Caenorhabditis elegans: one gene and its partner. The protein of the gene in region 2 interacts with the protein of the main gene of each other region in a pairwise test. Each region holds a gene or a part of one and is shown on either strand. Other genes may lie near its edges.

Evidence for each region.
Region 1: the proteins of hlh-11 (region 2) and tax-6 interact in a two-hybrid assay, tested with the Caenorhabditis elegans proteins (one study listed by BioGRID).

Annotation. Positions count from the first base shown.
Region 1 is NC_003282.8:10,495,019-10,502,899, reverse strand, and holds the start of tax-6 (Serine/threonine-protein phosphatase 2B catalytic subunit), read left to right. Parts: upstream 1-1,839; coding exon 1,840-1,879; intron 1,880-2,364; coding exon 2,365-2,454; intron 2,455-2,702; exon of another isoform or gene 2,703-2,981; intron 2,982-3,190; coding exon 3,191-3,291; intron 3,292-3,338; coding exon 3,339-3,824; intron 3,825-4,144; coding exon 4,145-4,284; intron 4,285-4,332; coding exon 4,333-4,410; intron 4,411-4,486; coding exon 4,487-4,581; intron 4,582-4,683; coding exon 4,684-4,809; intron 4,810-4,854; coding exon 4,855-4,932; intron 4,933-6,357; coding exon 6,358-6,366; intron 6,367-7,633; coding exon 7,634-7,718; intron 7,719-7,881. UniProt on the Caenorhabditis elegans protein: Calcium-dependent, calmodulin-stimulated protein phosphatase. Dephosphorylates arrd-17. Dephosphorylates daf-16 at 'Ser-319' which regulates daf-16 nuclear translocation. Dephosphorylates calcium permeable cation channel pkd-2 at 'Ser-534'.
Region 2 is NC_003281.10:9,620,391-9,627,057, forward strand, and holds hlh-11 (Helix-loop-helix protein 11), read left to right. Parts: upstream 1-1,756; 5' UTR 1,757-1,812; intron 1,813-1,877; exon of another isoform or gene 1,878-2,020; intron 2,021-2,089; 5' UTR 2,090-2,107; coding exon 2,108-2,157; intron 2,158-3,110; coding exon 3,111-3,386; intron 3,387-3,434; coding exon of another isoform or gene 3,435-3,439; coding exon 3,440-3,663; intron 3,664-3,880; coding exon 3,881-4,300; intron 4,301-4,549; coding exon 4,550-4,745; intron 4,746-4,934; exon of another isoform or gene 4,935-5,083; intron 5,084-5,393; coding exon 5,394-5,523; 3' UTR 5,524-6,138; downstream 6,139-6,667. Other genes in the region: tbg-1 (Tubulin gamma chain), read right to left, coding at 6,287-6,601. UniProt on the Caenorhabditis elegans protein: Transcriptional regulator. Component of a feedback loop involving atfs-1, atgl-1 and hlh-11.

The sequences.
Region 1 (7,881 bases), on a different chromosome or scaffold from region 2:
CTTTTTGGAAGGAATAAACAACAACAACAAGCCTTTCTTAGTGATGACTAAAAATTTAAGAATGGAACTATTATGTCGTTTAGAGAATTTTCATGTTCTGTTTTTACAATACATAGAGTTTCCGATTTTTTTTACTTTTTCTTTTTGTCTGAAATTTGTTTTTTTTTGTGTTTATTTTGAGAGTAGAAAGCCTGGTTTTGCTAAATTTTCCACCTATAATTTTTAGACAACATTTGAAACGTGCTTTAACTGAAACTGTCTATTTCTCTAATTTTCTCCGTTTCTGTCGCATCGCTACATATGTTTACCCAATTTCCGTGCTGCTTCTTTTCATTTTTCATTGTGCCTTATCGATAGAGAGAAGCAGAGAAAAAGAGCATCTCTCTCACGCAGAGGGAAAAAAGGTTTTTTATCGATAACACACACCGCCCATTACTTTTGATCTTTCCCTTTTTCAAAGTCATGTGGGTTTTTGGTTCTGCTCATAAATGATTTAATCAATACATAGCATGAGTTGAACAGTAGTTAGAAAATGACATCGCTCCTAGGAAGAAGACATTTTCAACTTATAAAATTGTTTGAAAGTTCTATTTTTAAATACAAACACTTAGAGTTGTACAGTACTACAACTGATATCGTTTTTTTTATTTGTATTGCACTACCTAGTATACATAAAACGATAGAAACAGAACAATTATTTTGTCAGTTGACAAAACGACAGAGAAACTGTCAGAATTGAATAATTCGCGAAATAAAAAATAAAGTGTGGTATTGACTGTTTTTTTTTTGAAGATGATGCTGAATTTCCTGATAAAGTTGTCAAAAATGAATGATGTTTAAGATATTTTTGAAGAAACGTTCGGAATAAATTTGTTCTCTAGAATAATTATATAGTTGCTCTCTCAATGATGTAAATCATATTTTGATGACATTTTAGCTTTAAGAAAATTCGCTAATAAATTGGTTGTAATGTTTCTCAAATAAATTTCTCTTGATTCTCCTTCCAATTCTCAATTGTTCCTTTTCTTCGTCTTTTCCAAAGGAACCCCGCCCATTGTTGTCGCCTTTTGGCATGCACAACTAGTTTTCCCTTCAATCTGAATTATTCGATTGGTCAAGCTTCTTTTCTTTTTCTTATTGAATTTAAATTTTTAACTATCAATTTGTTAAATTGAACGGAAAGCTTTGCATTGGAACATCTTATTTTTCGGGGACGTTATTCTTTCATAATCGTTATTTAATTCGTAAATGTTGAACTTTTTCTCTCCGTATGACAAAAATTGACCAAAATGTTGATTGCAGGCCTGTGAAAGATCGATCCGTCGTGCCGTGGTGTGAAGAGAAGTGACGTGAAACGGTCCGAAGGAGGGTATCGTACTGTTTCGCAAAGCTACATCATCTCCACACATAGCCGTTTCCCCGCTTCATCTACGGGTTCATACCAAACCAGAGTAGCTCATTCACTCATTTTTTTGAACAAAAAGGGTTCGTTTTCATTTTCCAACAAAATACATCCGATCCGTCAGTGGCGCCGCGCGCCGAAAAAGGAAAATATATGAGGTATTGGCCTCTCTCTCATAAAAGTCATAAAAATTGAATCGCCATGGTGTCCGCGAGAGAAGGAGAGCCGCGTGAGAGACTAGAAGAGAAATGAAGAAAAAAGGAAAAAAAGGAGCTCAAGAATACAAGTCAGCTGCCCCAAGATACTCGGCTCCGCGCAACTCCACACCATTTCCAGAGTTTCCCTCACTTTCTTACAATTTTGAATTGCAGGTGAAACAAAAAATCAGTCGATAAAAGGAAAAGTCATCATCAATTTTAAATATATAAACACACACAATGGCCTCGACATCGGCAGGACAGAACTCTGCAGCTAAACGTAAGTATTTACTGAATCCTCGTCTGAAACTACCATTGTTTTTATTCTTATTTTTTGCAATTTAAGACTATCGCTAAAATCAGCAAACATTGAGCATTTTTTGAATAAATTTCAAAAAGTTAAATAGTCCATTTTCAATTTTAGTAGGAACTAGAATTTTCATTTTCTTTGATTGGGAAAATACGGGAAAAGAACAATATTTTTTCAAATCAATTTATTTTGAAGTTTGGTTTCCGTTTCACGTTACATACCTTTAAATGTTATCGAAAAATTAGTTGTTGTTTTCCCTCTATCTCCTTTTGCCCCCTCGAAAAATGATTTTAGAAGGAAATAGAGACACAAATCGAATTTGTAGTGTTGTTGTGCATCATCACACACGCAGTCGTCGGGGGCTTCATCCTTTTTCTAGGTGTCTCTATCCGAAAAAATCTAGCGAAAGAAAAATGGATCTCATCTGGAATGCATGAAAAGAACCATTTTTTCAGCTGACACTACCAACACTACCACCACCGCCTCGAACAACAATCGTGAACGCGAACGTGATTTGAAGCAGTTCACCGAACGATTTGTCAAGAGTAAGTATTTGGCTTCTGCAGTCGGGCGGCAGTTTGAAAAAGAAAAACCAATTAAAGTGTTTCTTGCTTCAGGTTACGGAGAAAAGCGCCATGCTCTTTTTTTCTCTTTTTTTTTGCGCAGCACACCACAACCACCCCCATCCACCCTCACATTGGCACACACACATTGAAGAAGCCAGAAATTATACGCGCAGAGAATTTTTTTTTTTGCTTGTCCCGTTGTCGTCGTGAGCTGCAGAGCCGCAGAGAGTTTCTTCTCGTCTATTCTCAGCGCAAACTCTCACTGTCTGACTCACGCGGGTCCGTTGCTCTGAGGAGCTCACCAATGGCTCCGCGTCGGCTCACCAGGCACATAGAAAATATATCGAGAGATAGAGAGTTCTTATTCTCTCTGATTCTCTCTCCGTCATTCTCTTTTTCTATTCGAAAAGATTCTGACGAAGTCGCCGTCATTGGCGTCGTCGTGTGTGTGAGAGAAGACGGGAAGGAAGGGGAGTGAGTGACTGCTGTAGCTTGAAATCGAAAATTAATCCCGAAACGCTTGAGAGGGTTCCCATAGTAATTTAGGAGGGCGGCGGCGGCTCGGGCGCCATGTGGGGAAGATGAGCGTGAGAAGAGCATGGAATTTGAGAAGAATTGAAAAAAAAATAGAAGAAGGGAATAGAAAGATGAAGGAATTCGGAAGTAAAATGGAATAATGAAAACATTATATTTTTTCTAATTTCTCATTTTTCAGCCGTTCAATTTCCTGTTTCCGAACGCCTTACCGTTGATCAGGTCTACGACCGGCGGACTGGAAAACCAAGGCATGAAGTTCTTCGAGATCATTTTATTAAGGTGTGGAATAGATTTTTAAGAATATAATCAAATCAACAATTTTGCAGGAAGGAAGGATAGAAGAAGAAGCCGCGATTCGTGTGATTCAAGAATGCTCAAGCCTGTTCCGCAACGAAAAAACGATGTTGGAAATCGAGGCGCCGGTTACTGTATGCGGAGACATTCATGGTCAATTCTACGATCTCATGAAACTATTCGAAGTTGGCGGATCGCCCGCAACTACCAAGTATCTATTTTTGGGTGACTACGTGGATCGAGGATACTTCTCGATTGAATGTGTCCTGTATCTGTGGGCACTCAAAATCTGCTATCCGACCACGTTGTTCTTGCTTCGAGGAAACCATGAATGCCGTCATTTGACAGAGTACTTTACATTCAAACAAGAATGCAAGATCAAGTACTCTGAACGGGTATACGATGTGTGCATGGAGTCATTTGATGCTCTACCGTTGGCAGCTCTCATGAACCAACAATTCCTTTGTGTTCATGGTGGATTGTCCCCAGAAATCCATACTTTGGAGGATATCAGGAGGGTTAGTGAAAAACATGAGATCTAAAACTAATATTTTGAAAAATACCGTATTTCTCTATTAGTACGGTACCCGTTGTCGTTTGTTCTATCAAAAAATTCTCAATTAACAAAATATTTGTTAGTTCTTTTTCAATATATTTTCAATTAATTTCTTTGATATGTATCATGAACCGAGTGAAGTTTTTAAAGTGAAATAGTTAGGTGCAATACTGAGAGAAAATTTACGGTATATGTTTGTTTTATATGTTTTAAAGTACTGTTTAACTTTAATCCGAAATTACGACCATATCTTAAATGTCTATTTAATTTGTTGACTTTCAGATAGACAGATTCAAGGAGCCCCCAGCATTTGGTCCAATGTGTGATCTTCTCTGGTCAGACCCACTTGAAGATTTCGGAAACGAAAGGAATTCAGAACAATTTAGTCACAATTCGGTTAGAGGGTGCTCATACTTTTACAGGTATCCCATTCACTATAATCTTCATTTTAATAGAACGAAATATTATAGCTACGCTGCATGCTGTGATTTCCTGCAACACAACAATCTGCTCTCCATCATTCGCGCACATGAAGCTCAAGATGCCGGGTAAGAGCTTATCCGTCGCCAGGAGATGCGAAAAGAGAACCTTAATCCTCTTTTCTAATTCTACTCTATTTTCCAGATACCGCATGTATCGCAAATCTCAAGCCACAGGCTTCCCATCGTTGATCACCATCTTCAGTGCTCCAAATTATTTGGATGTCTACAACAACAAAGGTGAGAGGAAATATGGGAATGGCATTTTTTGACGGAGAAACAAAAAGAAAACAAAATTCGGAAAATTAAACATTAAACATTAAACAACTTAACAATTTTCAGCTGCCATCCTGAAGTACGAGAACAATGTGATGAATATTCGTCAATTCAACTGCAGTCCTCATCCATATTGGCTGCCGAACTTTATGGATGTGTTCACGTGGTCATTGCCGTTTGTGGGAGAAAAAGGTATAGCAAGAAATATGTCGAAAACCAAATGAGATTTCCTTTTAGTAACGGAGATGCTGGTTCACATTCTCAACATTTGTTCTGACGACGAGCTGATGGCTGAATGCGATGACACCTTTGAAGGTATGTTCATGATTAAGCACTGGCTCCCTCAAAGGAGGTCCTACTGCGTAAAAAACTAGGTCACTTTAATATGAATTATTTCACAACAAAAAATATTTATGTATATATAATTTTTTTAAATTAAAATAATCTTCTACCGCCAATTTTGTCTCTATACACTTTCAATGATTTTGTCTTGTGCTCGGCTCAAATTGGCAAATGAAAAGCCGCATTGAAACGTTCTCCCCAAGAGATGGAATACATGTGTTTTTTGCTCGATTAATTTATATATATATTTGTAAATGTATATCTTAACAAGAACAGAAAATTGTTCCTATTCACCTCATATCACTCTTTTCTCCTACTGTGATATAAACTAAGGAGAGGAGAAGAAGAAGAGAGACTGTTTGAAAATTAATAAGGCACTGAGAGTTTGAAAGGGAAATAGGAATATTTCCAATTTTCCTTCAAAAACCTCAAAAAATGCACAAAAATCGGTGTTGTGTGTCCGGTACGGTTCTCTCTCTCTGTCTCTCTTCTACTTCTTTTCTCTCTAGTTTCTTGCCTTTTCCTTTCCTTCTCTTTTTTCCTTTTTCTTTCCTTCTTTTCTCCCTTTTTTTGAATATTTGGTCATTGTTTGAATGTTGTGCTACTCTTTTTTTGATTGAGCTCTCTGAAAAAGAAACCATGAGAAAGAAAAGGAAAAACGAAAAAAGGTATTGGCATGAGAATTGATATTTCTGTGTGAGTGTGCGTGTGTGCTCTGACTGAGAATGACTGAAATATATAGGTGTTCTCTTTTTCAGTTTGACATGATTGATTACTTCAGTTCAAAACTGTAACTATTGTACTCATCTGAATTAGCATTTCTCAGCAGTCATACGCTCCCTATGTGTACAGTATTCAAAAGATTAGCGCCACTTTGTAGGTTTAATTTTTTGTAGGATTTCACACTTCAAATTGAAATATAGTTTTTCGAACGATGTAGAAATGCTAGTCACTAGTACACAAACCATGATGTCGATTGAGAAAAAAACGCATGTATTGTTGACCTTGAGCATAGCAGAGCACTACTTGTAGAAATTTTGAGCTCATTTGCCGGAGCCATGTTTGGCTTGGAAGACATTTTGTCAATAGAATTGAATGACAGAAGTACCATGCCATCGTAAGAATATCATCATCCCTTAATTTTTGTCTATTGTTCTAAAACCTTGAAATGTCGGTAAACTTGTTACCTTTTCCCAGTGTTGCAGGCTTGAACTTGTTCTGAAAATCCAATAAAATTTTGACAAATTTGTCAGAAACTGTGTTTTCAAGCCGTCCGTTTTTTCCTTAACCGCACGCGCCTTTAAAAAAGTTAAATGTTAAAATCTCAGTAAAGATCTAAACATTAATCTCAAAACTAGCTACAAAAAAATAATGAAAAAGTCTAATCAAAATTTTAAGGAGCAGATGGTAAGTGGATATTCCCCTACCCACCACACACTGGTGACGTATGTTTGACTATCAGATTTAGTTTTATTTTTTCTTTAATTTTTTACCAAACTTTCTTCGGAACACCCTAAACAACACCCACCTCGGGCGTTTGGCGCTTATACACCATTTCTTAGTTTGTTTTATTTTTCTCTCTGAATACGGCTTTCTATTTATTTGACTTTTATGTGGCTGCTCTGCTTATCTTTTTTGTTCCGTTTTTCTAAAAAAAAATACGTTGCTTTTTTCTAATTATAATTGTTTTAGTTGTTTCATTTGGCTGTGTGCTGCTAAACTTTTAACGCCTTGTGTTTTGCATGTTTTATGTCGGATTTCCAACCTGGTCTTCTCCTGTGTTTTGGTCTCTTTTCAAAAATTCTGAAAATTCCAATTTTAAACATTGAAAAAAAATAGAAAGTCAAAAAATCGAAGAAAATGAAAGAATTCGAGCAGTCTAAAATTCAAAATTCTCTCACTTGGTTTTGATTCCCCACCCTAAAAATTAGTTACTAATTGGAAGAAATGGGTGTCTTTATTGGGATTTTTAGGGGTACGGTATAAGAAATGAGAAAGTGGAAATTTCCCCAAACCTGTGAGAAAAGACCTTGAAGTGTATATTTTTTCTATACATAATATTTTCTCAAAAAGGTTACTTTATATTTTATTAGTATATTACGGTATATTTGAAAAATTATTATGAAATTGTAAAAGTAGAATTGATGTTTACTCGACAAGAAGATTTTTTAAACTATGAGTTTTTTGGCTATTCTTACGGAACATAATCTTGGAACGAAATAAGAAAATGTTAACAATCGAACAAGTTTAGTTTTTTGTATAAAAAATTGTAGTTAAATTAACTAGACAAATAAATTTTCTTTTCCAAGAGCATAAAACTTCTTTAAAACTATTTACAACAAAAACTACCGTAATCCCTTCAAATCCCAATGGGACCCGTTTCCTCTAACTCAACCTCTATCATTTTCGGTGACGGTTGGCACATTGCAAAATCCCAAATTTTTACCCCCTTTGCCCTCCCCATATTCACACTATTTACAAGTAGTAATTTTTCACCTATTAGCCAATATATATGTACATGGCTTTCATTTTATTTTTGACATTTTTCTAACTTCATTCGGGGATTTCTATTGATTGGTAATGTGGTTGCCAGTGAATGGTGTCACCCCTTTTGAAGTTGTTGCCATGTCATTTGTAAATGTTGACGGTTCTTTTTTAAAAATTAATTTTTCAGGTGGAGTGGGGTCTGCAAGAAAAGAGGTTATTCGACACAAGATTCGAGCAATTGGAAAGATGGCAAGAGCATTCTCAGTTCTTCGGTAAGTTGATTAATTTTTTTCAATTTTAAACCGAATTTGTATGAATTTAAATAGAAAGTTTTTTTCTATTATAGAATGAGCATTTTTTTTAGTTAACTTTTATTTATTTTTGATAACATATATCTTAATTTAATGTTTCTATAAAAAAACAACATACTTAAAG
Region 2 (6,667 bases):
CTCTCTCACTCCACTCACAGCTGTTTGTGACCCCAACCAACAAAACTGGGGGCCGCGCCATCAGGTGTTTTCCCCATCCATCCATCTGTCTCTAATTCTCAGGATCCCTTCAGAAAATGTTTCTTGGATCGGTTGATGGGGAAGATCGCAACAAAATCCCTTAACCTTTATTTTGAATGATAACAGATCATTACCGTCCGAATAGTTCTCGATGTCGTTTTGTTCAGTGTCTTTCTCTTTTACTACGCCTTTGAACTGATCTCTTTGCCGATTTTGGTGATGTTTTGTGATCTTATAAGAACTATAGTGAGTATGACTATGAAAAATTGTTCCCAACCTTTAACGCGGTTTCAACTAAATCTTGACCAAGTTTTTCCGAAGTTTTGCCAAAACTATGGACGAACTTTATATGTATGTTATACACAAAAATTTAGGCAGGAAATTGCCTCCAAAAATTGAGAAATCTTCCTCTGAAATCTCCAATATTTTCACGATTAGACTCTATTAACCTATGTTCTATTAAGTATTTCATAAATCTACTACCAAATGTTTTCTAACTTTAGATACTTTGCGTGTTGCTCTATGTGCCCAGCTGTTCTCCCATAAATGCCAAACTTGACCAACTAGATCATCCCGTACACTTGCACACTACAGCTGATCAAACTTTTGTTTCTTTTTTAGTTTTATGATTATTATGTGAGAAGTAACTAACTTTTCGTAATTACCAAGAATTCTTAAACTAACTGGTCAACTGCTTTTTGTTGACTTGTCAATGGGTTCCAGGGAGCCCTCATTGTAAAAAACATATGGTAAGTGCAATTGGCTATCGTCTATAAGCTCAAGGAAGTTGGAACCAATTTTTTGTTGATATTTTTTTCTGTTTTGTCTTCTCCATTCCGTTTGAGAATCAGTTTGTGTGTTCATCGCTCTCTCGTTTCTCCGATAAATCGCTAATCAACATTTTTTCTCGGTTTTTTAAGAAAGTAGAAAGATCAAAACATCAAGAGCTCATATTTCATTTCTTGGGGTGAAATCTTGAAATCTAGCCTTAAATTCTTTTTTTTTTCTTTCTTTTTTTTTTTTTAAGACCGATTTATTCTTGGTTCTTCATATTTTATCAAGAGAGAATCTGAGCAAGTCCGTTTGTAACTTTTGAAAGACGTTTTGTGATTCTGCAAATTTATAGAGAACTGATTGTTATTAAAACATGGACTCTGTCGGCTTCACGAGATAAGCTCATCGTCAGTTAAAAATAATTTCATTACAAGAAACTTTCGGTTTCTAATTCCAATTTTGGCAATGTTCTGATGTTTCGATTACTCCCAAACTCTGATCATTCAAATTAGTATCATGAAACATTTTAAGTAAAAGTTGTTGCATTAAACACCTGAAAATGGATCACCTGTTCTTTCCCTCTCATTTTTTCAATTATAAACCCTTCAGTTTTTCTATTTTCTATACATTTAAAACCTATTTCATCTGCTACACTGAAACTGCCCTCTTCCTCACGCCTTTTTCATTTAATTTACATATACATTGGTACCTACCGTATGAAATAGACGAACTGCCCGATTTTGAATTATAAGTCGGTGTGTTTCGACCCTCGATTGCTTCCTCTTTCCCCTCATGTGTCTGTGTAAAACATGCCATATGACACACTGACAAACTCTTTTTTTTTTCGATCTTTCCCCTTCAAGAATTTTCGTGAAGCATCAGCTGTTGGTTTTTTGTCGCAAATAATTCCAATTTTGTAAAGTTTCAGGTAATCCAGACGGCTCCCATCGTCCCTTCGTAGTCTCCGTAGTACTAACAGTAAGTATTTATTTCTTATTTCAAATAATTCGTGGTATAATCATTGTTATCTTTGCCCCCAAGTGTTGCTTATCACAAAGATTTTCAGCTGGGAAAAGAGCCTATCTTCTTTGATTCTACAAAGAAAATGGCATGTCAGCCAGTCAGCCAACATAGTGGGGGAAAGGTGATAAGAGTTACGGGTTTCGGGAAACTTTTGTCGGAAAAAGAGAGAATAAGGAACAAATAGAATTTCAATTCGAGAACCTCAAAAATCAAAAAAGAAAATTTTTTTCAGGTAGATCAATAGTAGAAAATGGTTCGTTCGGATAGCGCAGAAGAAGATCAAATCATCATTGATGATGGGTAAGGATTTTTGTACTACATTTTTTGCTCATGGTTTTAAGAAGAAACATTCGAAAAGTAATGTATTGACATAAGTCTAAGCCGAGTTTTGCTTATAATCATAATATGGTTGAATTCCCGCCTTCTAGGCGACTAGGCAGGCGGTCTGAAGACGTGCCTGCCTACTATATATATATATATATCCAGGATCAGACTCTCATTTGATGAAAGTATTAAAATCTGAAAATAATTCGAAAATAAACTTTTTTTGCTCCCTCTAAACCTATCAAGTTTCCAAGTGAAGTGTTAAGTCTACAGTAACTTTTCAATAAATAAAATTCAAATAATTTCCCATGGCTTTCAATTCGTTCTCAGTGACACGCAACAAGAACACCTGGCTTTTAGAGAAAAACACAATATAGAGACGCAGATGAACTTTTCCTCAATTCTAAAACTGCATGTGGCAATTTGTACTAATAATTTCTCATAATTTTTGGAACAGAAATATTGAGATGTTAAATTGAAGCTAATTTATCCCATTTTCTTTCTTTTTTTTTGTGGAATCGTGGCATTTATTGAATTGATAGGTTCTAATTGTAGATGAAAAGATCAATATAAAAATCAGAACAACTAAAGCTAGAGTTATTTTAATATTAGTTCAAATGTTACCCATTGTCGGCAAAGTTCAAATTTAAGGTCTAAAATGTGTTTTATCACTTTTGGAATTTTTTTTTAAAATGCATTTATAATAATTTAAAACGACTTTGTGAATTTCCAATTTTTAAAAAATATGTTTTTTCTCTATCCTCAAAGGAGTACTGTACTGTAGTTGTAGAATAGAAAAATATGAAGATATTCACGAAAAAGCTTGCGTCTTGAGAAGGCATTAATTGGAAAGTTGAAGTTAATTGGCCCCAAATTATTTGATAAATTTCGCTTCTTGAACAACCTCATCTACGAACACATTTTTGCAGATTTGATCTAACTGAAGAGGACGAGGAGATGATGAGTTCGGGTACAGGTGCATTGCCCGTGACTATCGCCGACTGGAATTCCGTGACAAATGCACGAATGGCACCACCATCCATCATGTCAGCTGCTTCGGCATTTGATTTGACGGCTTCTGGAATGCAGAATTCGTTGCGTTCTGTCTTGCCTACCTCGACGATTGGGCATGCACCAATGCTCGCCAACCGGTCACTATCCCAACCGGCGCCACTTTCACCAACGTCGCTCGACCCCGACAGAAGGTTAGTTTTATAGCACTGAAAGGTGGTGAGTACTGTAACTTTATATAGTATAGATCCAGAATGCGTCGGCAAATTGCCAATTGCAACGAGCGGCGGCGGATGCAGAGCATCAATGCGGGATTCTTGGCTCTAAGAGCCTTACTTCCCAGAAAAGAGGGAGAAAAGCTGTCGAAGGCGGCTATTCTGCAGCAAACTGCGGATATGGTTCATCAACTTTTGGGACACAAAGGAGAAGATATACCTGACGGTGGAGAACCCAAAAAACTCAAACTTGAAGGTAAGTTTATATCTTATTGATATTTTTGAAAAGTGGAGTAGGATGAATGGAAACTGTGTTTCAACAAAAATCTGGATAATCTGAAATTCTGAAATTCCACAAAATAATTCCAGCCTAGAATGGCCTGAAGAAGTCTAAATCTTACTGAATCGTGCCTACCCTAAATCAGTTCAAACTTGAAATTAATATAAGCTGTTCAAATTAAATTTTGTTTCAGAAGATCACCACGACGCTGACCATCAAGCGCAAATAGCACATCTCCAAACAATATTAGAAACTGAACGAGCCGCCCGTAAGGCTTTGGAGAGTCAAGTAATTCAGCTCCGTGAGCTGCTCCAAATGACGACAACATCATCGCAAGCATCGTCACCAGTGACACCAAGATCTAATGGTTCTGGTGGTTTCACATTGCCATCTTCATATGCTTCATCGGCTCTTCCTACTCCGTTACGAGAATCACCGGAAAGGAAACCATCATTTCAAGATACAACAAGTACTCCGTTGTCTCTTTTGACACTGAACGGTAGTCCAACTTCTTCTGAATCATTGGCGTCTCAACGTATATTCCATCCGCCTCCAACATTGCCAAGTTTAGAGACAACTGTTATCCGTCCTACACCACTACCACCAATATCAGGTAATTTTTGGAAAGATATATTCAAAATTAGTTTCAAAAAGATTGAATGTCCAAACAAAACACTATGAAACGTTTGAGATGTTTCAAAATTTCCAGGCAATATTTTGGTAAATTACCAAATTTTTTTTTTGGAAAATTTGGTCTTTTGGGAAATTTAGAGTATTAAGGCCTAATGCATGGTAGCATTTTTTGAAGCCCTGGAATATTCAAATAAAACTTTTTGACTATAAATATATATAAACATTTAAGTTGAAATATCATCACCATCTCTGTCAACTCCATCACCTTTGACTGCCGCTCCAATAATCTTCTCAACAGCAGTTCCAACTCAATCGAGTATTTTGTTCCAAACAGCGGCGGCAGCGGTCACCTCGGCCATGTCTACCGGTAACTCGACACCCGTCGCATTGCCACATCATCTGCAGGGACATAATTCTGCGTTTGTGTGAGTTCTGTATATTTTATGGGGGAAAAATTATGAATTCAGTTTTCTGTTTTGAGAGAAGAAGGCTGTATGTGGAATGATCTACTTTCAAAATTCAATTTCTGAATTCAAATCTTCGTTATAAATTTAATTTTTAAATTTATTTTATGCTGATTATTAAATTTCAATTAAATCTTTTTTATAATATACTCTATACAGTCAAAAAAAATGTTGTGGTTACTGTAGGTTGCAATATTGCTATTATGAGGTCGTAGAAAAATCCCCCTTGTAAAATCGAGGACCGCCCCCAACAGCTGGGTCTCGTTAGGTATTGGGGGGCCAAACCAGTAATTCAAACTTTTTCTATTAGTTTCGCCAATGTTTGAACATTTTGCGTCTTTCTGGGTACGTATGCCAAATTGATTTTAAAAAAACTTTCCAATAAAAACAACCATTTTTCCAATAAAAACAACGAAAGACGAAAAACGACGAAAAACTCCTGAAAATTGGTACAATTATTTAATGACAAACGTTTGAATTCACGGATTTGCCGCCAAATACCTAACGAGACCCAGCTATGGAGGGCGGAGATTTTCTACGTCTGCATAATAGTTCTCGAGCAAACTTTTCGAATTTTTAAAAAAATTAATATGTTGCCATCAATTCCAGAAGCACACAACCGAGCCTGACCCTGTCTCAATCAATGCAAACAATTGTTGAAGCTATTCGTCATTTGGAGGGAAGTCATTTCATTCCAACATCTCCTCCACCAACCTCACAGACATCGCTCGTCCGTTGAGCCTGACTTTTGACAAATGTAGAGTTACAATTACAAATACAATTATCAAATTTTCCACGTTTCATAATCTCTCTCTCTTTCTCTTTTTCTCTCTTTCTTTCTTCAGGTTGATCCTGTTTTTTGCTCTTCATCTTTTTTCTCTCTCTCACCAGGCACAGTATCTATCATTTTTATCACAAAATTTGATGAATTTTTGTTCTTTTCCCATTTTTCTTCTTGTTTTAGGTATACTACTTGTTGTGTTTCTATGAAATGTTTTTTTCCAAAATTTTTTGTGCCGATTGTGGTCTTCTTGTCATTTTTCTTCTAATCAATCTAGCTTCCTTATTTCCCGCGCTCTCACGGACCTATCCATTGTTTCGTTCTCCCCACCGATAACTTTTTGTTTTTTCATTTTCCTTTTTTTCCAGTCTTGTTCATCTCCAGACACTGCCCCGTTACTTTTACACAAATCGTGTCGATTTCCTCTTTTTTTCATTTTTCACCCGGTGGTTTTGTTGACCGTATGTGCAGCTTGAAACACTTTCATTTTCAGACCTCAATATGTCTCTCTATTGCTATCGCGCAATAATCATAACTAAATAATTTAAATAAACCTCAATAGTACAACCACTGAGACAAGAGTACCAATATTTATGTGAAAATTATGATGATGATGAGGAGCACATGATATAAATAATACAATAAACACAGCATATGATAATCGACAGAGATCCGTTTTAAGAAGTGAATGAGAATCCCGCGAGAATAAATAATAATAAATCTAAAGCCCTCTTGTCAGATAGTCCTTTTGTACGACCGCCTTGTACTCGTCCAGCAAGTCTTGCACAATGTGCATTGCATCGTCCATCATATCCAGCGAGAAATTGTCAATCTTTTCAAACTTGTCGATGAAGGCTCTCTTTGATCGTAGTTTGTCGTATTTGGAGAGAAGCGATTCGAATAACGGAGCCACGCTTGTGCTGTTATTGAGCAAGAGTCCAGATACTTTGTATTGTGGCCGAACATATGGAGAGAGTGGAGCATGCATCATTCGAAGTGGTTTAAGCATGTAGAATGGAGGCCTTCTGATTGCGAACTGAAATTTGATTTTATTGATTTGATGCTTTAAGGTGGATTATAGAAAAATAACGAAAAAAAGTCA